Arabidopsis thaliana: one gene and its partners. The protein of the gene in region 1 interacts with the protein of each later gene in a pairwise test. Each region holds a gene or a part of one and is shown in the gene's direction. Other genes may lie near its edges.

Region 1 (7,991 bases):
CCTTATCCTCAGAAGTCATCAAAGATGGAGTACGGCTGATAGCCGGGATAACAAAGGCCTGTTCCTTCCATGTCAAAATATTCTTGGTGCGACGAATATTGGCGTCTACCCTTTGCTCGGTTGTTAAAATTCAACTCTCTCTCGATTGCTTTTGCGGTGCGTATAGCCATCTCTGGTCCTTCAGCATCGTTTGGTCGGAACATCACCCGGATTTCTTCTTTAAGTCCATTAAGAAACATGCCTTTTACAAGTTGGTCCTTATTACCTATTTGAGCTGCCCGAGCACGGAATTCATTAGCGTACTCATCTACGGATCCTGTTTGTCGAAGTGATGCCAATTGTTCTTCAGGAGAGGCCGTAATATCTCCTCCTCCAAATTCTTCTATAAGCTCAGTTTTTAGTTGAGACCATGTTAAAGTCGGGTTCTCTTGTCGTAGACATTGTAACCAGAGTAGAGCATCACCTTCCATACTCCTGAATGCAGTGTCTACCTTGCAAACCTCTGGAGCGAGTTGCAAAGTAAAGTAAACTTCAATGATTTCTAGCCATATGAAGAGATGGTCTCCATCAAAACTTGGCATCTCAATGTCCTCCTCAAGGACAGTTGCAGATTCTTGTTTAGAATGCGACGATTTTGAAGCCGAAACCATCCTTGTAAACTCCAAAATAGCATCCTGGATCTCTTTCTGTCTCTTATGAAACCCAATAAATTCTTCATGCAAGGCCTTGTGGTACTTTTCTATCGCGATCAAACGTGACTCAATCCTACTGGTAGTCATTCCTCAAGTTCTTATTTGCAGGTAGTTAACAATCACGGTCACACAGAACCCCACGAAAAGCTCTCTTTATTGCAAGACTCAAAGAAACCCAAAACGTATAAAACTCAAAGCTCTCTCTAGCTTGTATGAGTCTCATAATCGAGACCCTATCTTTATTTATACTAAAACGTAAAAGCAAAGCACTCTACTAATAGGAAAAAAAAAAAAATGCCAAAATGGAAACTCTTTGAAGTTTGAGGAAAAAAAAAACTCTTAATAATTTCCTAAAAAGAAAAAGAAAATCTTAAAAAAGTAAGGAATACATATTGTTACTTGGTCAAGTCGGTGTACTTGATAGTTGGTAAAATACATGATCCACAATTTGGCTAAGCTTCAAAAATGTGCTTTTGGTGATGGTTTATTCAGGTTCATATCTGGTGATTCGCGTGAACCAAGGTCATGGTTTGGTCCTAACGGTCAGTACATTCGAGAGCTTCCTTGTCCAACTTGTAGGGGAAGAGGTTATACTTCATGTTCAAATTGCGGAATCGAGAGGTCGCGATTAGACTGCCCTCAATGCAAAGGAAAGGTACTTAAAAGTATTAAATTACTTTAAACTTTTGAGTAACAAAAGTCTTTCCTTGTTATAGAAACTTTGCTTAAATTTGTGTAGGGCATAATGACTTGTCTCAGATGTTTGGGGGATTGTGTCATATGGGAAGAATCAATCGATGAACGACCTTGGGAGAAAGCTAGATCCAGGTAGTGTTGTTATTCAAGAGTTGAAGTCTTAATTCTGTTTAATGTTTGACTAATAAACCTCATTTTTTTCTGCCACAGTTCTCCATTTAGAGTAAAGGAGGATGATGAGGTTGATAATTTAGAGATAAAGTTCAGTAAAAGGCGAAAATCGAAGCGGATTTATCAGTCACCAACTCCTGAAGTTGGACAAAAGATCAGCCGATCTCTAAAAGTTAGTTTCATTCATATACACTTCATGTTATTCTACTCTCTCCATGGGAAATTGTCATAGTCAGTCCAAATTATGGTTTTTATAGAGTCTCAATGCCAAAACTGGACTTTTTAGTAAGCGCATGAAGATTATACATCGTGATCCAGTGCTTCATGCTCAAAGAGTAGCTGCAATTAAGGTCTGTAATCTACTCCATTTTGTTTTATATCCTAAATTAACATGGAACAAGTTTTGTTGTTTTTTTCCCTTGAATCTGCTTAGTGTTGTTGTGTTCTAGAAAGCTAAAGGAACACCAGCTGCTAGAAAGCATGCATCCGAATCTATGAAAGCTTTCTTCAGTAACCCTGTAAACCGTGAACAGAGAAGCCTATCTATGAAAGGTAAGTCTCAGTTTCTTGGTAGAATTTCAGAGTTTAGGTCCATGTAGTACTCTTTTGTTTCTTGAGCTTTATCTGTTTACATTCTCCAATAATGTGAGATCACTGTGATGAATTAGGTTGAGGCTTGTCACTTAAAGTTGAGATATAATGTTGATTCGAAGTGTAGAAATGTAGGTTTCGATTTGATTTCCTTTTGTGGTGACAGTTCCATGTGCAAGCTATGAAATGGTAAAAGAACCATTTTTCTCTCATTGATTCAGGAACTAAGTTTTACTGCAAGAACTGTGGACAGGAAGGCCATAGACGCCATTACTGTCCAGAACTAGGCACTAATGCGGACAGAAAATTTAGATGTCGGGGTTGCGGCGGGAAAGGCCACAACCGTAGAACTTGTCCTAAGTCGAAATCAATAGTCACTAAAGGCATTTCCACTAGGTATCACAAATGTGGAATATGCGGTGAGAGAGGTCACAACAGCAGAACATGCCGGAAGCCGACCGGAGTGAATCCTAGTTGCAGTGGTGAAAATTCCGGGGAAGATGGTGTTGGTAAAATAACGTATGCTTGTGGGTTCTGCAAGAAAATGGGACATAATGTAAGAACCTGTCCAAGTAAACAAGTTTCAGACAGTGATTCTTGTTTAGAGCAAGAAGGTTCTTGAACCTGTTTATTTGGTTAGGCTTGGTTTTGCTATTGAAGCTGAAATAACCAATCACTGACAAGTCCTTTTTAGCGGATGGATATTTCGGGTTTATAATCGGACCAATCACTTGAGTCCCGATTGGTCTTTTTTGAACTATCTAAACTCAAACAAAAACTGAAGTGAGTTTGACCGCTTTTGGTTTCGGGTTATGACCGCATTCGTTTACGTGCAAGTATATATACTTGTTGGGTTGATTTTTCTTGAATACGACCTGAATTGGTACAACGGACCCATGCAAAGAAAGACAATCGAGCCTAGAAATTTCTGAACAATTATCGACTTATCCATATAAATGCTATAAACACCTAATATCTCATCCATATCCACATTTAACACTTTGTTTTTTCTAACATTAGTATGCTACTATTCTTCGATGCCTTAATATCGGATGGTTATTATTAGGTAGTTATATTTAGTCTGAACACTAAATTTTATAATCATTACCCAAAAAGTAATTAGTCACGTTTTTTACTTGATCTAAATTTACAAATGTACAATGTCTTTACGCGCTAAAAATAACAATTGTGGACAAAAAAAACTTAGCAGACAAAATTGACCACAAGTGATAATATCTAAATTTGGATTTGTTCAACGACACAACACGTAACGCGTCTTCCCGTATCTTGCGTATGACTCCTTGAGAGCCTCTCTTTAATTGTCCTATAAATATAAGTCTCTCTTGCAAGACTTTTGAAACCACAACAAACACAAAAATCAAAAGGGGTCATTTACTATCTTTTAAGAGACGACATATATAGTTCTCGACCAAGAAAAGAAAAGGGGGTGACCTGAGTTCTTCAACACATAACATAATGGCCGGAGTTTTCAAAACGGTTACGTTTCTTGTTTTGGTTTTCGCTGCCGTTGTTGTCTTCGCGGAGGACTACGATGTTGGTGATGATACGGAATGGACGAGACCTATGGACCCCGAGTTCTATACTACTTGGGCTACCGGTAAAACTTTCCGTGTAGGCGACGAGCTCGGTGAGTTTTATTGTTCTTATAGCTGAAATATGTCTTTGTTTTTCTTGTTCTTATAACAGTCATAGTTATGGGATCGTGCATGGATCATGTCGGTGTTGTTCTGTCTTTCTTTCTATATTCTTATGAACATATTTTAGCTAAAAAAGGGATTAATTGAGTTTCCACCGACTGATGTTGATATTCTTATTACAGAATTTGATTTCGCTGCTGGGAGGCATGATGTGGCAGTTGTATCAGAAGCTGCATTTGAAAACTGTGAGAAAGAGAAACCCATTAGCCACATGACCGTTCCTCCGGTCAAAATTATGCTAAACACCACTGGACCACAATACTTTATCTGCACCGTCGGTGACCATTGTCGTTTTGGTCAAAAACTTTCCATCACTGTAGTTGCTGCTGGTGCAACTGGAGGTGCTACTCCTGGTGCCGGTGCTACCCCAGCACCTGGATCAACCCCAAGTACTGGAGGAACCACTCCTCCCACTGCGGGTGGGACCACAACACCTTCAGGCTCTAGCGGAACCACTACTCCAGCTGGAAATGCCGCTTCCTCATTAGGTGGTGCTACTTTTCTGGTCGCTTTTGTTTCTGCTGTTGTTGCTCTCTTTTGAGTCACACTCGAAACCTAGTTATGTATTTGTTTTACCTTACTCTCCTTATTTAAATAGTCATGTATTTGATTATTTGTGAGAATAAGGACTTGTTTTCAAGTCATTATAAACGTCTTATACTTGTGATTAGTATTGAGTTTCAATATATGATTATTCGGTTGCAAAATAAAGAGTGGGTTTCAATATCATTGAGATTACTACTATATATTACCATATTTCATGAAAATTAGTCATCTTCTTCATCCAATTTGTCTAGTTTTCATGTATAATTAGACAAAATTTGCCTTCTCAATATTTTCAATCAACGAGTAAACATTACCTGATTGTGAACCGAAGTTAGAATAATATTAAAAAGACATAGGTTATCTACTAATTCAATATACCAACAATATGGTATTTTTGTTTCAGTGGATACGTTTCTCACCTGAATTCACAACTTTTTTTTTTTTTTTTTTTTTTTTTTGTGTGTGGAGATTTTTAATCTCTGGCTTTATAGTTTGATAATCGAGAAAATGCCAAAAAGTATGCCCGTACTAAGTACAAAACATAAGACCACAAAATTCCACAATAAATTGACACGTGTCTGATCGACGTGAATCAAGAAAACCATAAACTTGTTTTGTTTTCAACAACCAAAGACATTTTCCCCATAACAATGTAAGCATGATAAAGTCTAATGGTTATACCAAGGTCTTTGGTAATTACACTGCTCCTTTTTCTTTTTTTTTTTTCCTTTTTCTAAACCATCTGAATTTAACTTTATTTTATTTACTTCATTTGTCAATGTGATATCTTCAACTTTCAATAATTTAATATGTTTGATTTTTTAGTGTAGCTACGATATTCGATAAGACCTATATATGACATAGAGTTCTTGAAATAGCAAGTCTTGGTTTTGCCAAAGTAAGAACCTGTAAAAATAAAAGCAATTCTTTACAGAGATTTTTGGTTTTAAATCTACAAAGTTGCAAAACTCGTTGCTTTCATTTGATTTAATGGTTAGTTTTCGAGATAGACAAAATGGGAAATTTATTTGCAAAATGATTTAGTTGCAAAATCATTGGGACACTATCTTATTTCACGTTTTATATAATTGATGACATAATAAGATAGTTTCCCAAAGTAATTAATTGATGATATATGTGGTTGGATAAGAAATTATGGTATTATCATGTTTGCCTCTCAAATTTAAATTTAATTAATTATATACATACACGAGTAAGCTAAATAAAAGTTTGACCACATTTCATATGAAGAATTTTATCTTTCCAGATATCTAGAATTTGTTTTCTCTACACAGTTCATTGAAGAAAACATAGTACGGAAGAGACCAGAGGTTAATTAAACGACACTTTAACCTATCACGAGAGAGACTGAGATGATCAAATCAAATGAAAGAAAATAAACATCAATCACATGCAAAGAGTGTTCATTAAGCAAAATCACTAAGTTTGTTTTTACTTTATTTTATTACGTTACTTCAAGTTTTTTTTTTATCTTCTTGGTACTGTAAAAAAAGGAGAGAAAATAGAGTTGGCTATGTGTAATAAGCGAACCAAAAGCAAGCCTTCCATGACTGTGCCCTCAAGAAAGTAGCTTTGTTTTCAATCCCAAACTGTCAAAGTCTCTCTTCACCTCAAGATTAATCAAAACATTTCTCTCTCTATCTCATCAATGTTACTTTAAAACCAATGCTCCTCTTCTTGTTCTTCATATAAACCACATATCCTCTCCTCCATATCTTAACAATTTCATAGCAAACCCTAAAATTGAGAAAGAGATAGAGAGAGAAAGATGGGTAGAGGAAAGATCGAGATAAAGAGGATAGAGAACGCAAACAACAGAGTGGTGACGTTCTCAAAGAGGAGGAATGGATTGGTGAAGAAGGCTAAAGAGATCACAGTTCTTTGTGATGCAAAAGTTGCCCTCATAATCTTTGCAAGTAATGGTAAGATGATTGATTACTGTTGTCCTTCCATGGATCTTGGTGCTATGTTGGACCAATACCAGAAGTTATCTGGCAAGAAACTATGGGATGCTAAGCATGAGGTAATTTTGCTCTCTTTTTAATCTAAAGTTTCTTTGTCTCAAAAATATTCCATGGCCAAAATCATGTAATAAGTTTTCAATTTCTTTACCAAAAACATGTCAAAAGACCCTTGAATCTTTAACCCTAGATGCAGATCTACTATAGTGTTTTGTCTCAAAAACATATATTCTGAGCTAGATATCATGAAATTGGTTATTTAATTTTCTTTTCCTAAAATATGTCAAAGAGAAAGAAAAATACTCTAACCCTAGATGCAGATCTACAAAGGTTTCTTTGTGTATGTAGCCTAACATGCGTCTTTATTGATTTTCTTGTACTCAACAAGACATGGAGCCACAAAACATGGAAGTTATTCTTTTCTTTTGTTCCTGCTTAATTTGTATAATCTAGAGTATATCTAACCAACTGTGTTTTGAAACCATCAAGACCAAATCTTATGCGAATCAGATCCGTAGTTTATGGAGTTATTAATTGAGAGAAAAATCTGGGATGTGATATGTATCTGGGAATGAGAATTTCTGATTAGTACACTGATTTTACGTTTCTGGCTTTCAAAACTAATTGAAAACTTGAAAATTGCTTTTGAGTTTTGAGTATCCTTTTTAAATTAAATTTTGATGCAAATATTATATGTATTATTAATTAGCTCTGACAAATGTAGGTTTAGTTCTCACAAATGAGATATATCTCTATAGGGTAATAAGCATACAGAGGCTTTTATACCATTTAAGTCACTGCCTAGTAGTATTTGTGCATGTATATCTGTGTATGCTTTTACATATACTAATATCAATATATATACATATATGTGTGTCAGTGTGTGTGTGTGTGTTATATGCTTTGCATGAAACATGAACATAGAGAGACTTGTCATGGATTGCTTCTTTGTATATCTATATTTATGTTTAGTTTGTACAGATTACTAAGTATTTTTTTTGTTTGATCTAAATTCTTAAAACCTTTATTGCTCATCTAATACATATTTTTTGTCTCCAGAACCTTAGCAATGAGATTGATAGGATCAAGAAAGAGAATGATAGCTTACAACTGGAGCTCAGGTCATTATTCTTCACCCTTCATTGCCATATCTTTACCCTAGTATAGTATATATATAAAACATTTGATTATAATAATGTTGAAATATCAAATTGAGAAGTTCATGGAAATTGTGACTACAGGCATTTGAAGGGAGAAGATATACAGTCTCTCAACTTGAAAAATCTGATGGCTGTCGAGCACGCCATTGAACATGGCCTCGACAAAGTCCGAGACCACCAGGTATGTATACATTTCTACATACATTCATACACATGAATATATTTAACTTCTTATTTGGTCTGCTTGGCACAGATGGAGATCCTTATATCAAAGAGGAGAAATGTGAGCATATAACTAATCTTATAGTACTCTACTTCTTAGCTTTCGGATTGAAATATGTATTAATGGTTGCATCATTCTTTCTTAACAGGAGAAGATGATGGCGGAGGAGCAACGGCAACTCACTTTCCAGCTGGTATACATATAATGAATCT
Region 2 (7,991 bases), on another chromosome or scaffold:
GTTTTTTCGTGGGAAGAGAAGACGCTGTTGAAATAATGAAGGTTCTTCCAGGGATATTAGAGGAGCGTGGGGTGAGATTTTTGTGTGTACTCTTTATGTGAGCTTGATGGCTACATTCTTATCATAGATTGTTACTTTTGGTGCTGATGACAGTAAAATTCATTATAGGTGGATGTGAAGCTGGTTTATAGTAATGGATATGCTTTTGATGTATTACCAAGAGGAGCTGGCAAACAAGGTGCTTTGACATATCTACTTGACAAGTTGGATATTGAAGGCAAGCAGCCTTCTAACACACTTGTTTGTGGTGACTCTGGAAATGATGCTGAGCTTTTCAACATTTCTGACGTATATGGCGTAATGGTTAGTTCCCAACTACTTTTTTTTAGGTTCGATCATACTTGACTACGCGTGAGTGATTGTGCTTATATTTTTACTGTTTAAGGTTAGCAATTCGCATGAAGAATTATTGCAATGGTATGAAGAAAATGCAAAGGACAACCCAAAAATATTTCATGCGTCTGAGAGGTGTGGAGCTGGTATGATAGAAGCTATTCAGAGGTTTAATTTGGGACCAAATGTCTCTCCTAGAGATGTTATGGACACTGAAAATTTCCATGGGGAAAGTTTGAATCCTGCTCATGAGGTTGTTCAGTTTTATTTGTTTTATGAGAGATGGCGTTGTGGAGAGGTGGAAAAGTCTGACAAGTACTTGCAGAATTTGAAATCGCTCTCTGTAAGTGTGTTTATTTGACAAAAAAAAGCTCTCTAGCATCTAACGTAATGGAAATTCAAGTGCTCAAATTGATAATTTTGAAGATGTTCTTGATTGCTTGTGTTGTGTAGACTTATTAGTTGACGTAATTGTTATGCTTTTGCAATGTTTCAGAGTCCACTTGGTATTTTTGTTCATCCGTCTGGAGTGGAGAAACCGATACATGAATGGATAGATGAGATGGAAAATTTATACGGTGATGGGAAGGAAAAGAAGTTTCGCATTTGGTTGGATAATGTTACGTCTTCTCATATCAGTTCAGATACATGGCTTGCAAAATTTGTAAAGCATGAGTTATCTGGTAAGAAATCTTGTTCTTCAATTACATGGCTTATACTTGTGACTTATCGAGCTAGGAAATGATTTAGCAGAAAATACGATCAACTGATTTGTTTGATTTCTCATCATAAGGGTATACTGTAGAAGTTTGCTTCCATGTTCTAATGTCTAGCTCGTGTTTACAGAGGGAAAAGTACGGTCTTGTTCAACAAAAGTCTTACTGAGTTATAAGGTAAACCTTGATTTATGATCCTTTTAAGATTTCAAACGATTAGATTGGTTAAATAATATTGGAAAAAAATAACTGAAAATGGGTTAAAATTGAAAGGAGGAAAAGCAAAGGCTGACGTGGATGCACATCCACCAATCATGGTTAGATGAATCTTCTTCAGATGATCAAGAAAAATGGATTTTCTAAAGGATTATCTTAATCTCGACTGACATACTAAAGATGACATCTGTTTGGGACAGAAGCTAACCAAAGAGCATAGTGTTTGTTTTGTGTTATGTTTGTTTGGGGATGGTGTGAGTTTGATAAAGCATGAAGGATACTAAAAGCTGAAGAAGGTGTTGCCATGTCTTGGTTTCGTTTCATTAATACTTTTTTACATATTTGGGTTAACTTAAAACTATTAATAAGGAAGGTTGGGTCCTGAATTTGGTCTGTTCATGACCTTTTGAGGGCAGGGAGAGTTTTGGGTCTCTACAACAAAACCTACATTTCTTTAGTCTTACAAAACCTACCATTGTGTTTGATTTGCAATTCTTTTTTCTGGTTTATATGGATTGTTTTCTACTATTTCTGTTTGTTTTTGTTGAGAAACTATTTCGATTTTTTAAACCATATACAAAACGCTCCACCAAACTCACAAATCCCGCCTTGGATACTGTAATCTGTTTTTATAAAAAAATGATATGATGGAGAGAAGAGGAGACGCAAGTCACGGGACATGATTTCAAGCATAAGTCTAATTACTAATTACCACCACTTTCCGTAATTAACGCCCTTTTTCACTTTATCCACTTTTTGTTGCCCATCTTCTTTATATTATTTCTTTCTCCAAGCCCACACTGCTCAGTTTCCTGGTCAAATGGCTACCTCAGAGACTCGAGTCTTGTTCTTATCTTTGTGTCTCATCCTTGGCAAAGTAGTTTTGTCTCAGTTTGATGAGTTATGGCTAGTAGGGGACGATGATCCACTCAACGCCTTGCAGACGAGGCGTGAAAGAAGAGAGGAGAGGTGTGATTACTCGGTGGGGAAATGGACGTTCGATGAAACGTATCCGCTCTATGATTCAAGCTGTCCATATCTGAGTTCTGCACTAAGTTGCCAAAGAAATGGAAGACCCGACTCTTATTACCAGAAATGGAGATGGATCCCTAAGGCTTGTTCACTACCAAGGCACACTCCACACTCCTCTTACTTCTTACATTACTTCTTTTTAAAATTTCTGTCTCATCAAGTAAAAAAGTTGGTTTATATTGGCTTTGCATGGTTAATTGCAAGATGAATAAATTGACTAATGAAAAATGGGAAAGAGACATTAATATTAACCAAAATAGTGGCTCTTTCCATGATGGTGTTTAGGTTTGACGCATTGAAATTTCTTGGGAAAATGAGAGGAAAAAGAATAATGCTGGTTGGAGATTCAATGATGAGAAACCAGTGGGAATCTCTTGTCTGCTTAGTACAGTCTGTTCTTCCCACTCATCGTAAGAAGCTCACTTACAATGGTCCTACGATGTCTTTCCATTCTCTGGTAATTAATAATCACAAATCTCCTTTTGAATCACATATACATCATTGGTTAGTAGATGCAACTATTAAATTTGGTTACTATACAGGATTTTGAGACATCAATTGAGTTTTGTTGGGCTCCTCTGCTTGTGGAACTCAAGAGAGGAGTTGACCGTAAAAGGGTGTTACATTTGGACTCAATCGAAGACAATGCTAGATATTGGCGTGGTGTAGATGTTCTTGTATTCGATTCCGCTCACTGGTGGACTCACTCTCAGAGATGGAGTTCGTAAGTCATCTGAATAAACACTTACATCTTTCCTTCAAAAGCAAATGATTAGTGTATAACGGTTCATAGACGTCTATGTTCATTGTATTTGTTATTGTGTCTCATTTTACATCAGATTTGGGATTTGTGACAGTAACGCAAGCTATTGATGTTTTAGGTGGGATTATTACATGGATGGGAATAAGATCTTCAAAGCTATGGACCCAATGGTTGCTTATGAGAGAGGACTAACCACATGGGCTAAATGGGTTGAGATAAATCTTGATCCATCCAAAACAAAAGTCATTTTCCGCACTGTCTCACCGAGGTTTTTTCTTATATTCTCCTCTTAATCTCAACATATATACAAAATGGACACCATTAATTCATGTACATAAATTCTTGGCAGAGAGAGTGGTCAGATGTGCTACAACCAGAAACATCCCTTGCCTTCTTTATCTTCTTCCACCAAACCCCACGTGCCTCAACAGTCAAGAGTGTTGAACAAAGTGCTAAGGACAATGAAATACCGAGTGTATTTATACGATATCACAACAATGTCTGCGTATAGAAGAGACGGTCATCCTTCGGTGTTCAAGAGAGCAATGCACGAGGAAGAGAAGCACCATCGTATCGCTGGACCTTCATCAGATTGCAGTCATTGGTGCTTGCCCGGTGTCCCGGATATTTGGAATGAGATGCTTTCTTCAATTATCTTAACCAATGCTGTATGAGCTATAATAAGAGTCTGTTTTTACTCATGAACAATGGTGTTACTTATATGAATCAGTGGTTTATATATTACATATCCTTTCCCAGCTAACAAATATCCCAATATCAAAGACAAGACAACTCAAAGGCCTTTAAGCATAAAGTTCATGCATCACAATGATTTTCGTGTTTTGGTTATTTCTTACCTAACTCAATTTTTTTCCTAAAACGTTTTAGGTTAAGTTTTGGTGTTTTCATCAAAATGGCAATAACCATTTGATTAGAGTTTTACAGTTAGTGAAGTTCTCAATTTTTGAATAAAATAATATTTTTAAAATTGTAAAGGCAATGAGTCATCATTATTCTGTCGTATTCTCCGTCGCTTTCATTTTCAACTACTTTGAAGCTGCAGATCTCTTTTGGAGATTCACATGGCGACGGAGAAATGGGTGTTCATGGTGACGGCGCAAACTCCGACGAACATTGCGGTGATTAAGTATTGGGGAAAGAGAGATGAGGTTCGGATTCTCCCCGTTAACGATAGCATTAGCGTAACTCTTGATCCTGATCATCTCTGCACAGTCACCACTGTTGCCGTTAGTCCTGCTTTTGATCGGGATCGAATGTGGCTCAATGGCAAGGTACACTCGCTTCATTTCCCATCACGATCTCTCTCCTTTTGCTGAGATTCCAATTATCGAATTACAAAGATTTTTGTTGTTGTTGTTGTTTCATGTTAGTGTAGGAAATATCTCTTTCTGGAAGTAGGTACCAAAATTGTTTGAGGGAAATACGAGGTCGTGCTGGTGATGTTGAAGACATGGAAAAGGGGATCAAGATAAGGAAGAAAGATTGGGAGAAATTGAATCTACATATTGCTTCTCATAATAACTTCCCTACTGCTGCTGGCTTAGCATCTTCAGCTGCTGGATTTGCTTGTCTAGGTATTCTGCTTTTTCTCTCTGTTGATGATTATGAGCTTGAGAATGGCTTGTAGTTTATGTCAAACTGTTTTTTTTGCCTACAGTTTTTTCTCTTGCAAAGTTGATGAATGTAGATGAAGATCCAAGCCATCTTTCTGCAATAGCCAGGTACCTATGTAGTGGACTTCCTTGCACTATATATCAATGCTTTGATTTATGTATAGTCATCTACTAATGCATGAGTTGTGATAGTGAAGTGAAATCTGACACTCCTCTAGGAATTAAATGGTACTGATATTCATGGTTTGATTTCTGTTTGCTCATGTAGGCAAGGTTCAGGAAGTGCTTGCCGGAGTTTATTTGGTGGATTTGTCAAGTGGACAATGGGAAGCAAAGAAGATGGAAGTGACAGCGTTGCAGTTCAACTGGCAGATGAGAAGCATTGGGATGATCTTGTTATCATCATTGCTGTGGTATGGCTCTTTTAAAAAATATTGTGACTTTTTGGCAGGATTACTCCGACTCTCCCATCTTCCAGATCATGCTGTTTTTCAAATTAACCATATGTTACTTTTACTGTCGTCATACTATTTGATTGAACGAGATATATAAATAAGTATTTCCACGACAAGATTTTGAGTTGCTCTATTTCAACGTGTGAATATAGCATTATGGACAAGTTCGAATGGTCAGAAATCTGTTAAAATTTAGTGCCTTCATTCAAACTTTTTATAACAGGTGAGTTCACGGCAGAAGGAAACGAGCAGTACCTCCGGAATGCGTGAAAGTGTTGAGACAAGTTTGCTTTTACAGCATAGAGCAAAAGTACGTTCTGTTCTTGATGTTTAATGAACTTCTGTATTACCTATTAAACTTCATCCTTTGTTTTTTCTCTATCTATAGGAAGTTGTGCCAAAACGGATTTTGCAAATGGAGGAAGCTATAAAAAATCGAGACTTTGCATCGTTTACACAATTGACATGTACAGATAGTAATCAGTTTCATGCTGTTTGTCTGGATACATCTCCACCCATATTCTACATGAATGACACTTCACACAGGTATTCTCTATTTTGACATATTTCTATATGCTGCTTCAGTTTATTTGTTATCAAACCCTTATTTATTCTAATATATCAAACTGTTATCTGCTTTTCCAGAATAATTAGCTTAGTTGAAAAGTGGAACCGTTCTGAAGGGACACCACAGGTAAAGTTCTAGTGTCTTGACTCAACCTTTTGAAAACAACTAATAACTCAAAATGTAAATCTGTACAGGTTGCTTACACATTTGATGCTGGTCCAAATGCTGTACTGATTGCACGCAACAGAAAGGTCGCAGTCCAATTGCTCCAGGGGCTTCTGTACTATTTTCCCCCTAAGTCAGACACTGATATGAAGAGGTGAGACACAGAACAATGTGTGATCCGTTTAACTGCGGTTTTCTATGAGTTTTAAAATTGACTAAAAAGCTGTTTGTAATGATTTTGGTTTCTTTATTTACCAGTTACGTAGTGGGCGATAATTCAATTCTAAAAGAAGCAGGATTAGATGGAGCAAGTGGTGTAGAGAATCTGCAACCTCCACCTGAAATTAAAGACAACATTGGATCTCAGGATCAAAAAGGAGAAGTCAGTTATTTTATCTGCACTAGACCTGGAAAAGGTCCCATCGTGCTTCACGACCAAACTCAAGCCCTTCTCGATCCTGAAACAGGCCTTCCTAAGTGAGCATTCTCTCTGCTTCAAACTAATTATTATGATTAGCATCTCCTTTAACTGCAAGTTTAAGATACGATATATGTGGCAGAATAGGTGCAGGTACGTTGTCATCTAACTATTAGCTTTCCTATTTCCAAATAAAAGAAATTCATTGGTTTTGTTTTACCAGAGAAAAATCTTTTTACTGCGCTGCAGTAAATACTTTAAAAGACGCAAAAAAATAAAATGAAATGAAATTTATTCATGAGGAACAGAGCAATACTATTTTTTTGGGGTGGAGACAAACTGTACAACTTTTTTTTTGATTATCTAAACATATGTAAAATTGAATTTAAGATGATTGAGGAATAGGCAAGAGTTCTTTTAAGATAGTTTCTGCCATCCCATCAGCCATCGGAAAAATATGACCAGCACCTGGAATCTCATGATACTTGATCCAAGTTAGTTTCTGAGCAATGATCCTTTGTAGTTGTATCGGGACGAGCCGATCATCATCCCCTTGCCACATATGTACCGAACCTTCACCCTTAGGGAACGGATTCTCGATCTTCATAGGGTCAAAACTCCATTTCCCAAATCCAACAATCAGGTCTCGGTCAAGTGATTCGTGTGTCCCTTGTTGTGTTGTTTGGTTCTTGTAAGACACCCTTGCGGCGAGTTTGGGCAGTAGTGCAAGATCTTGAGGAGAGAACATATTGGGGCTTGATTGCATCACAGCTGTTGTTGAAAATAGCTTTTGATTGTTCCACCAGTAGAGTAGCCATGGAGTGTGATGAGTAATGAGCATCGAAAACCTTTCGGATTTTGATTGTTTGTTCCATAGCTCCCATGTCAAACTATCTGGGAAACTCGGCCACCATGAGTTGGTCACAGGACAAAGCAGTGTCGCTCCTGCGAGCCTGTGAGGAATGTATTTGAGAACACCCCAAACGGCTTGACCTCCCATTGAGTATCCAACCACGTAAAATTTGGAACCAAGTTGTAGTTGGTCAGCAAGTTGTTCAACGTCATGAGCTAAAGTCTTTTCATTGCGACTCGAGTGAGGATCGCTCTCTCCATAACCAGGTCGATCATATGAAACCACGTAGATGCCATTTTTCTCGAGAAAGCCCTGAGAGACAAACAATGCAATTACAGAAATACTCTATAAGAGAAATAGTAAGAGAGAAAGATATCAAATCATTACAGGGCGAACACGGTTGGCGATAACAGCGTCACGCCTAAATGTCGAGAATGCATGGATAAAGACGATCTTGAAAGTGGCATTTTGTCTACTAACTCCATGTTCTTCATAGGCTAAATAACGGCCATCGCTGAGACGTATCCTAGGGGCGGTAATAGGCGGTCCACCTGGGGTTCCGCATCTCTTAGGAGGTGGAGGTGTAATGGAAACAATAGCCCATGCCCCTAATCCAATCAACACTATTACCACTGCTCCTGTTATTAACCCTATCAAAATATTCAAATCAATAAATCAGTGATCACATTTCCTTCATCCCTTTTGCAAAACTTACGTTTACTTGAATCAATCAAAAACTCACATTTCTTCATGTTGAAAAAACCTTGATAAAAAAGTT
Region 3 (7,991 bases), on another chromosome or scaffold:
GAATTTTTACCAAACATCTACATTGAAAAACATAAACAAAACTTATTATGAAACAAATTTAAAGTTATAAACCCCCAATAAAACTGTAACAATATCGTTTAAGAAAATAATCGTTAAATATATAATGTTAATGTGGTTTAGTCAGGCATTATATTTTAAATAATTTGTGTAGGTAATTTTGATTAGGTATTTGAATTTAATAGTTTTATGGAAGAAAACTGGAGTTGTTAAAGAAATATGAATTTTAATTTTTAAATAAAGACTTTCAGATTGGACTAATATCATTCTATTTATCATTTTGGACATTAAATTCTTCAGTTTATTGTATGATAGCTAGATACGATTTGACCCTCTCCACGTAGAAATTCACTCTTTCCATTTTTTTTTTTCTTTTACCTCAAGTTCCACCACCGTATTGTATCGAGCCATCAATTGAAAGGTATGCATTCTTTACCATGTGCACATTACCATTTTCGTAACAAAAACGTGGTTACGAATTTAAAGAAGAAAATGCCACTAAGATACTTGTTGTACTGGCTAATATTTTTAATATGAGCTATTAATGTTACTATATTTATGCATAGCAAATAGTTGTTTAGATGACCAAAACAGTATAACACATTTATAAGTTGTCCAGAAATCAATCGATATATTTGCCAAAGAAAAAGAGACGAAAAAAAGTTGACCTCCTAATAGTTAGTTACTTCTAAAATCAGCTAAAACTATATTTACTATATAAATCATCCACATCAACCAACATTCTCACCAAATCATCTCGTTTCACCAAAAACATTACAATTTAAGATTTGCAGACTCACAATACTTACGACATGGCAGTTCAAGTGTCAAAGAAAATTTGTCGTGTATTGATGATTGTAATTTTATTTGCAATGATGTTTTCAGCTCATTCCAACTCGATAGATGTGTGTGTCAAAAATTGTGGCGTGAACCAGTGCATGAAAGCATCAAAGAAAGCGACTCCAGCTATATGTGACAACCCTTGCAAGATTATATGTGATCCTCTCAACAACGAGCGATACATCGTCCCTCGAGGTAATGGTGGTCCTATAAAAAGGTTCTGCAGAGCATTTAGCTGGATTTGTAGCGCGTAATTGATCGACATTACAAAAATTGTCTCCTTTCTTTATGCATATATTATATATTTATGTTTTTTTGTATCATTGTATTGATCCATATTTCAAGTACTTATGTATCCTTCTTCCATAATTTTATTATACCTAATACTCCCTCATTTTCAAATTATATTTGTTTAAAGTTTTTCAGACAAATTAAAATAATTACAATTAATTTCTGTTTTTCTTTTTATTAATATGCTATGATTTTTTATTCGTGAAGACATTAAAAAAAACTAAATTTTTAACCAAACATCTACATTGAAAAACATAACCAAAACTTATTATGAAACAAATTTTAAGTTATAAACGCCAATAAAGTTGAAACAATATAGTTTAAAAATAAAATAACTAAAATATATGATGTTAATGTGATTTAGTTAGGCATTAAGTTTCCATAATTTGTATAGCTAATTTTTTTTGAACATAATGTTAAATTATATTCAAAAATATATATATATATATATATATATATATATATCATGTTTACAACAAGTGCAACTGTTTTAGAAAGAAAGCTGAGAATATAGAGTTGTAAAAAAGAATTATGTAGGCATTTGAATTTAATAATTTTATGGAAAAAACTGAAGATGTTAAACAAATATGGATTTTATTTTTAAAATAAATACTTTCAATCAAATTATATTAGTCTTGAATTTATAGATTTTATGAAAAAAAAGTTTATTGTGTTTTCATGGAGGAAAATGACGATAAAGACAATATGAAAGAAAATTATGTTTACAAATGTACATATTTACCTGGGAGGAGTCATATTAAATGATCTAATCCGCCTTAGTGTATTGTATGTATCTAGAACCTCTTACTTATTCATAAACAAAAGTACATATTTTCCTTACGTTTTCTTATAAACAAATGTACATAATTTCCTACTTATATATATATATATATGTATTCAACTCAAAAATTATAGACAAAACAAAAGGATTACGTATTCTTTTTGTTCCTGATGAATCTTTCACCATATTTAAGAAAAACTATAGGTTTGAAAGAAAGAATGTACCCCGATGATCGCCAAAATATTTAAATCACATGAAAAATAACAATGTGATTTAGTTAGGCATTGAGTTTTTAGGATACTTTTGGTGGAATTGTTATTTTTCATTTTTAAAAAAGGAAAGATTTTTAGTGTCCAATGATAAATTCAATGATCTTAAAAAATTATGTACAGTGAAAGGTAATCATTCCTTGTTAACGGTATGTATTCTTTACCATGTCATGTGCATATTACGATTTTCGTAACAAAAACGTGGTCACGAATTTTAAGAAGAAAATGCCACTAAGATATGTGTTGTACAGGCTAATATTTTAAATATGAGCAATTAGTGTTACTATATTTATGCATAGCATGCAAATAGTTGTTTAGATGACCAAAACAGTATAATACATATAAGTTGTCCAGAAATCAATCGATATATTTGCCAAGAAAAAGAAACGAAAACAAGTTGACCTCCTAATAGTTAGTTACTTCTAAAATCAGCTAAAACTATTTTTACTATATAATCAACACAACATTCTCACCAAATCATCTTGTTTCAAAACCACAACAAAAAGAAAAAAGAAAGAAAAAAAACATTACAATTTAAGATTTTCAGACTCACAATACTTACGACATGGCAACTCAAGTGTCAAAGAAAATCTGCAGTGTATTGATGATTGTAATTTTATTTGCAATGATGTTTTCAGCTCATTCCAACTCGATAGATGTGTGTGTCAAAAATTGTGTCGTGAACCAGTGCATGAAAGCATCAAAGAAAGCGACTCCAGCCATATGTGCCAACCCTTGCAAGATTATATGTGATCCTCTCAACAACGAGCGATACATCGTCCCTCGAGGTAATGGTGGTCCTATAAAAAGGTTCTGCAGAGCATTTAGCTGGATTTGTACCGCTTAATTGATCCACATTACAAAAAATTTGTCTCCTTTCTCTATGCATAAGTTATATATTTATGATTTTTTGTATCAATGTATCGATCAATATTTCAAGTATTTATGTATCCTTCTTCCATAATTTTTTATCTTTAACAATATTTACTTGTATACGGAAAATTTGTTAAAAATCTAATTATTTATATTTATATATGTAACAACTGAAAATTGGTAACTTGTATAAGCATAATTTATGCTGCATAAACATATTTGCATTTAACTACACGGAAACTTACTAAAGAGAAAAAGAGAATTCTCGCATATAAAACAGAACCGTTACTCTGTTTCTCTTGGCGCTTTAATTAGGGTTTCTTATTTAGCTTTTGCATTGCCACATTCCTAAAGGTTTCATCTTTTGGATCCTTCTCTGACTCACTTCTTAAAACCCATCAATGGAGGAAGGAAGTCTGTGGCGTCAATGGACTATGTTCAGATCTCTGTTATCGATTCTTCAATGGTGGGGTTTTAACGTTACTGTTATCATCATGAACAAATGGATCTTTCAGGTTTAAAAAGTCTCTTACTTTTATCATTAAAGACTTAGCCTTTCGTTTGTTTTATCTGATCTGCGTTTGAAATTTGGTACCTTTCCTTGTTTGCAGAAACTGGATTTCAAGTTTCCATTATCAGTTTCATGTGTTCATTTCATATGTTCGTCGATTGGAGCATACATTGTGATTAAAGTCTTAAAGCTTAAACCTTTGATTGTGGTTGATCCAGAAGATAGGTGGAGGAGGATTTTTCCAATGTCATTTGTGTTCTGTATCAACATTGTGTTGGGGAATATTAGTCTTAGATACATTCCTGTCTCTTTTATGCAGACTATCAAATCTTTAACTCCTGCAACAACAGGTTTAGGGTTTTTTTAAGATTGAGAATTTTTCAAAATAAAGTGATTTTTTTTTATTGTTCTGATTGGTTTTTGTGTAATGGTTTTTTGAGTGCAGTTGTGTTACAGTGGTTGGTATGGAGGAAATATTTTGATTGGCGTATTTGGGCGTCATTGGTGCCTATTGTTGGAGGGATTCTTCTTACTTCTATTACAGAACTTAGCTTTAATGTGTTTGGATTCTGTGCTGCTTTGTTTGGATGTTTAGCTACCTCTACAAAGACCATTCTTGCAGAATCTCTTCTTCATGGATACAAATTTGACAGGTCAATGTTCTGTTTCCTGAGGTTTTGATCTTCAGTTTCACATGATAGGTGTTGAATGTGTGAAACTTACATTTGGTTTCAATGACATGCCATGCTCTCATAGTCCAATACTTGATTTGCTTTTTCATATTTCATGGAACTGAGTGTTTGTGTCCTCCTCATTTTCATGTCTCTCTATGTAGCATAAACACGGTATACTATATGGCGCCTTTCGCGACCATGATTCTCGGGTTACCTGCATTTTTACTAGAAAGGAATGGAATTTTGGATTGGTTTGAAGCACATCCATCTCCATGGTCGGCTCTCATAATTCTTTTCAACTCAGGTGTTCTAGCTTTCTGTCTTAACTTCTCCATCTTCTATGTCATTCAATCCACAACAGCAGTCACATTCAATGTAGCTGGAAACCTTAAGGTAAATGAACAAATCCCAAACCACATAACATTAATCTTTATATTCTAGTTTCAATAACTCAGATGTTTGATGGATGGTATGTGATTTGCAGGTTGCAGTAGCTGTGTTTGTTTCATGGATGATATTTCGAAACCCGATATCACCGATGAATGCTGTTGGCTGCGGAATCACACTTGTGGGCTGCACCTTTTACGGATATGTAAGACACATGCTTTCTCAGCAACAACCCGGAACTCCTAGGACTCCTCGTACCCCAAGGAACAAGATGGAACTGATCCCTCTTGTTAATGATAAACTCGAGAGTAAAATTTGAATATCATCGGTAAGTCACTAGACTATTGAACGCACACAAAGAAGTTAGATTTGATCTTGAACATCCACAAGAGAGTTATAGTTTAACTATATGTTTATTTTTACTCAAACTAGAGAAGTTAGAGAAGTGCCATTTTATTTGTTTCCATTGTATTAAATTATCTATCCTCATCAAACCAACTCAGAGATGACCACAAAGATACTTAAAGCAGGCCCATTTTTGTATTCAATTATGGTAGTGCTTTCACTTACCTCAGCTTTTTAATTTTTCCTTCCAATTTTGTTTGTGCCATAGTGCCATGTTCTAACATCAGAGACTTAATACATGACAAAATGGTGCAAGTTTGGGAATCTTTGAAAGAAGATGAAAATAGAAAGTTAATTTGACAATATATAAGAAATGATTATTCATTTTCCCGCCTTGATACATGAAAGAGCTTAAGACGGTGTTTAAGGGAAACGAATATTTTAGCTCTCAAAACAGCTCATCAAATTCGTTGCTTTAGCTTCTCAAAAGTAAAAAATGGGCTTTTTCAAGTGGGCCTCAACTTATGTTGCTGAATTTACCGCCATATCCTTCCCTTACAAAAAATCAATTTTCAAAAAATCTTCATGCTACAGTAGTCTGAAACCAGGTCAAAGGAGTTAAAGAGAAAAGGGCAAAACAGTCAAACAGCATAAAAAGATGTCTGTGTCTTGGAGATCGCAAAGCTACCGTTTTCTGTTCACTCTGTACAACACACTTGTCTCCTTCTTCCTCTCTTCTCTTCTCTCTCTCCATTTCAAAAAGGGTGAAACTTTTCTTCTCTTTCTAGAAGAAGAAAACCAGAGATACAGAGAGATTCTCTCTCTACCAAACCCCTGGAAAAATCTCCAGATTCATCTTCCATAGACCAAACTAAACTCTGTTCACTGTACTCTCTGTCATTGTCCTGTAAGAGAAATTGAAAACCCTAGGAGATTTTGAATTTCGTAAAACCCTAAACACAAAAATGAAAATCCCAGAAAAACCCATCTTCTTAATCTTCGTCTCTTTGATCCTAGCTTCGAGCTTAACCTTCACAGCGACAGCGAAATCAACAATCGAGCCTTGCTCAAGCAACGACACTTGCAACGCTTTACTCGGCTACACACTCTACACCGACCTCAAAGTCTCAGAAGTCGCATCTCTCTTCCAAGTAGACCCAATCTCTATCCTTTTAGCTAACGCCATCGATATCTCTTACCCAGACGTCGAAAACCATATCCTTCCTTCGAAGCTCTTCCTCAAAATCCCAATCACTTGCTCCTGCGTCGACGGAATCAGAAAATCTGTCTCTACCCATTACAAAACCCGACCTTCTGACAATCTAGGATCGATTGCTGACTCTGTTTACGGAGGCTTGGTCTCTGCTGAGCAGATCCAGGAAGCTAACTCGGTGAATGACCCGTCGCTGCTTGATGTTGGGACTAGTCTTGTTATCCCCTTGCCTTGTGCTTGTTTCAATGGCACCGACAATTCTTTGCCGGCTGTTTATTTGTCGTATGTTGTGAAGGAGATTGATACATTGGTCGGAATCGCGAGGAGGTATTCGACTACTATTACTGATTTGATGAATGTGAATGCTATGGGAGCTCCTGATGTTAGTTCTGGAGATATTCTCGCTGTTCCTTTGTCAGGTCAGGTCTACACAATCTTTAAAAGTTGTATCTTCAGATGTTTGTATAATGGGAAGTAGTTTCTATTGTTAGTTGTTGGTTGCCAAATTGGGATTTTTGGTGTAGCTTTGTGGACTTTTGATTGTTTCTTTCATTGCTGGTTGATTGTTTTCTGGGTTTTGAATCTCATTAAGGTATTGTTTTTGGCATTGAATGAGTTTGAGCTACCAAAAGTTTCCCTCTTTGTGGTATTTTTTTGGCTGAGTTTACTTTTGGTAAGGGAGCAATTACAGATTATTAATGTTTGGTTCTGTATCTTTACCTTCTCTCAGCTTGTGCTTCAAAGTTCCCCAGATACGCTTCGGATTTCGGATTGATTGTTCCAAATGGTAGCTATGCTCTAGCTGCAGGTCACTGTGTGCAATGCAGCTGTGCGCTTGGGAGCCGCAAGTAATTATATCTAAGCTTTATTATTTGATATGACTAATCAAATTCATCTCTGATTGCATTTTGACTCACTTGTGTTGTGTGTGGGTGATGTGATGCAGTTTGTATTGTGAGCCTGCTTCCCTAGCCGTCTCTTGCTCAAGTATGCAGTGTAGAAACAGCAACCTCATGCTCGGTAACATCACGGTGCAGCAGACTAGCGCTGGCTGTAATGTTACAACTTGTGATTACAACGGTATAGCCAACGGCACTATCTTAACCATGTAAGTAGAAATACATTCACTTTGTCTTCTCCTCTTATCAACATACCCCTACTAATGATTCGAAACTATTTCCTTCTCTTTCGTTTTATAGGCTGACCAGGTCTCTTCAACCTCGATGTCCCGGTAAGTTCTTTTTAAACCATGTTATCTTTGTAAGGGAAATCATGTGCTAGAATTCGGTCTCATGTAAGTGCAATGGTAAAAATGCAGGACCTCAACAATTTGCGCCGCTTCTAGCTCCACCAGATACTGTTCCTAGGGATGTAATGTATGCACCAGCACCTTCACCAGATTTTGATGGTCCAGGATCCATAGCATCTTCACCAAGATCATCTATGCTTCCTGGTGGTGGTATCTTGCCAGGTAATCCCGCTAATGGTCCAGCCGGTAGCATCTCAACCGCCTCTGCCTCCTCAGTTAGCTACTTCTTTATCACATTTCTCATCTCCATTGCTTCTTTTTCCCTTGCTTTGTCATCTTGATTCAACAACAATTGTTTATTTTCCGCGCATTAAAAACTCCTATGTGAAATTCTTGATGAGTAGAACCAAAACATTGTTATTGATCTCTTTGATAATTTTTGAAGTTGCATATCTCACAAAAACTTCTAGTTAAAACTACAAGATGATTGAATCATCTCATCATATTACATCTGATGTGCCAAAATCTTTCTGTAACCTT

Evidence for each region.
Region 2: the proteins of BCB (region 1) and TBL36 interact in a protein complementation assay, tested with the Arabidopsis thaliana proteins (one large-scale study listed by BioGRID).
Region 3: the proteins of BCB (region 1) and GONST5 interact in a protein complementation assay, tested with the Arabidopsis thaliana proteins (one large-scale study listed by BioGRID).

Annotation. Positions count from the first base shown.
Region 1 is NC_003076.8:6,823,000-6,830,990, forward strand, and holds BCB (blue-copper-binding protein), read left to right. Parts: upstream 1-3,365; 5' UTR 3,366-3,626; coding exon 3,627-3,798; intron 3,799-3,990; coding exon 3,991-4,409; 3' UTR 4,410-4,749; downstream 4,750-7,991. Other genes in the region: AT5G20220 (zinc knuckle (CCHC-type) family protein), read left to right, coding at 1,185-1,347, 1,432-1,520, 1,599-1,731, 1,817-1,909, 2,009-2,111, 2,372-2,772; PI (K-box region and MADS-box transcription factor family protein), read left to right, coding at 6,204-6,458, 7,456-7,517, 7,638-7,737, 7,810-7,839, 7,928-7,972. UniProt on the Arabidopsis thaliana protein: Probably acts as an electron carrier.
Region 2 is NC_003074.8:20,080,900-20,088,890, reverse strand, and holds TBL36 (TRICHOME BIREFRINGENCE-LIKE 36), read left to right. Parts: upstream 1-1,923; 5' UTR 1,924-2,145; coding exon 2,146-2,456; intron 2,457-2,642; coding exon 2,643-2,814; intron 2,815-2,899; coding exon 2,900-3,081; intron 3,082-3,238; coding exon 3,239-3,388; intron 3,389-3,469; coding exon 3,470-3,794; 3' UTR 3,795-3,920; downstream 3,921-7,991. Other genes in the region: AT3G54270 (sucrose-6F-phosphate phosphohydrolase family protein), read left to right, coding at 1-71, 169-363, 446-736, 890-1,076, 1,240-1,286, 1,383-1,472; AT3G54250 (GHMP kinase family protein), read left to right, coding at 4,203-4,412, 4,517-4,715, 4,799-4,862, 5,023-5,167, 5,433-5,519, 5,598-5,755, 5,855-5,903, 5,972-6,096 and 1 more; AT3G54240 (alpha/beta-Hydrolases superfamily protein), read right to left, coding at 6,746-7,525, 7,601-7,863, 7,956-7,965. UniProt on the Arabidopsis thaliana protein: May act as a bridging protein that binds pectin and other cell wall polysaccharides. Probably involved in maintaining esterification of pectins. May be involved in the specific O-acetylation of cell wall polymers.
Region 3 is NC_003070.9:7,674,735-7,682,725, forward strand, and holds GONST5 (golgi nucleotide sugar transporter 5), read left to right. Parts: upstream 1-3,473; coding exon 3,474-3,587; intron 3,588-3,683; coding exon 3,684-3,933; intron 3,934-4,028; coding exon 4,029-4,236; intron 4,237-4,418; coding exon 4,419-4,650; intron 4,651-4,741; coding exon 4,742-4,963; 3' UTR 4,964-5,109; downstream 5,110-7,991. Other genes in the region: AT1G21864 (Plant thionin family protein), read left to right, coding at 831-1,112; AT1G21866 (Plant thionin family protein), read left to right, coding at 2,765-3,046; LYM1 (lysm domain GPI-anchored protein 1 precursor), read left to right, coding at 5,955-6,621, 6,933-7,050, 7,149-7,310, 7,402-7,433, 7,521-7,792. UniProt on the Arabidopsis thaliana protein: GDP-mannose transporter that may be involved in the import of GDP-mannose from the cytoplasm into the Golgi lumen.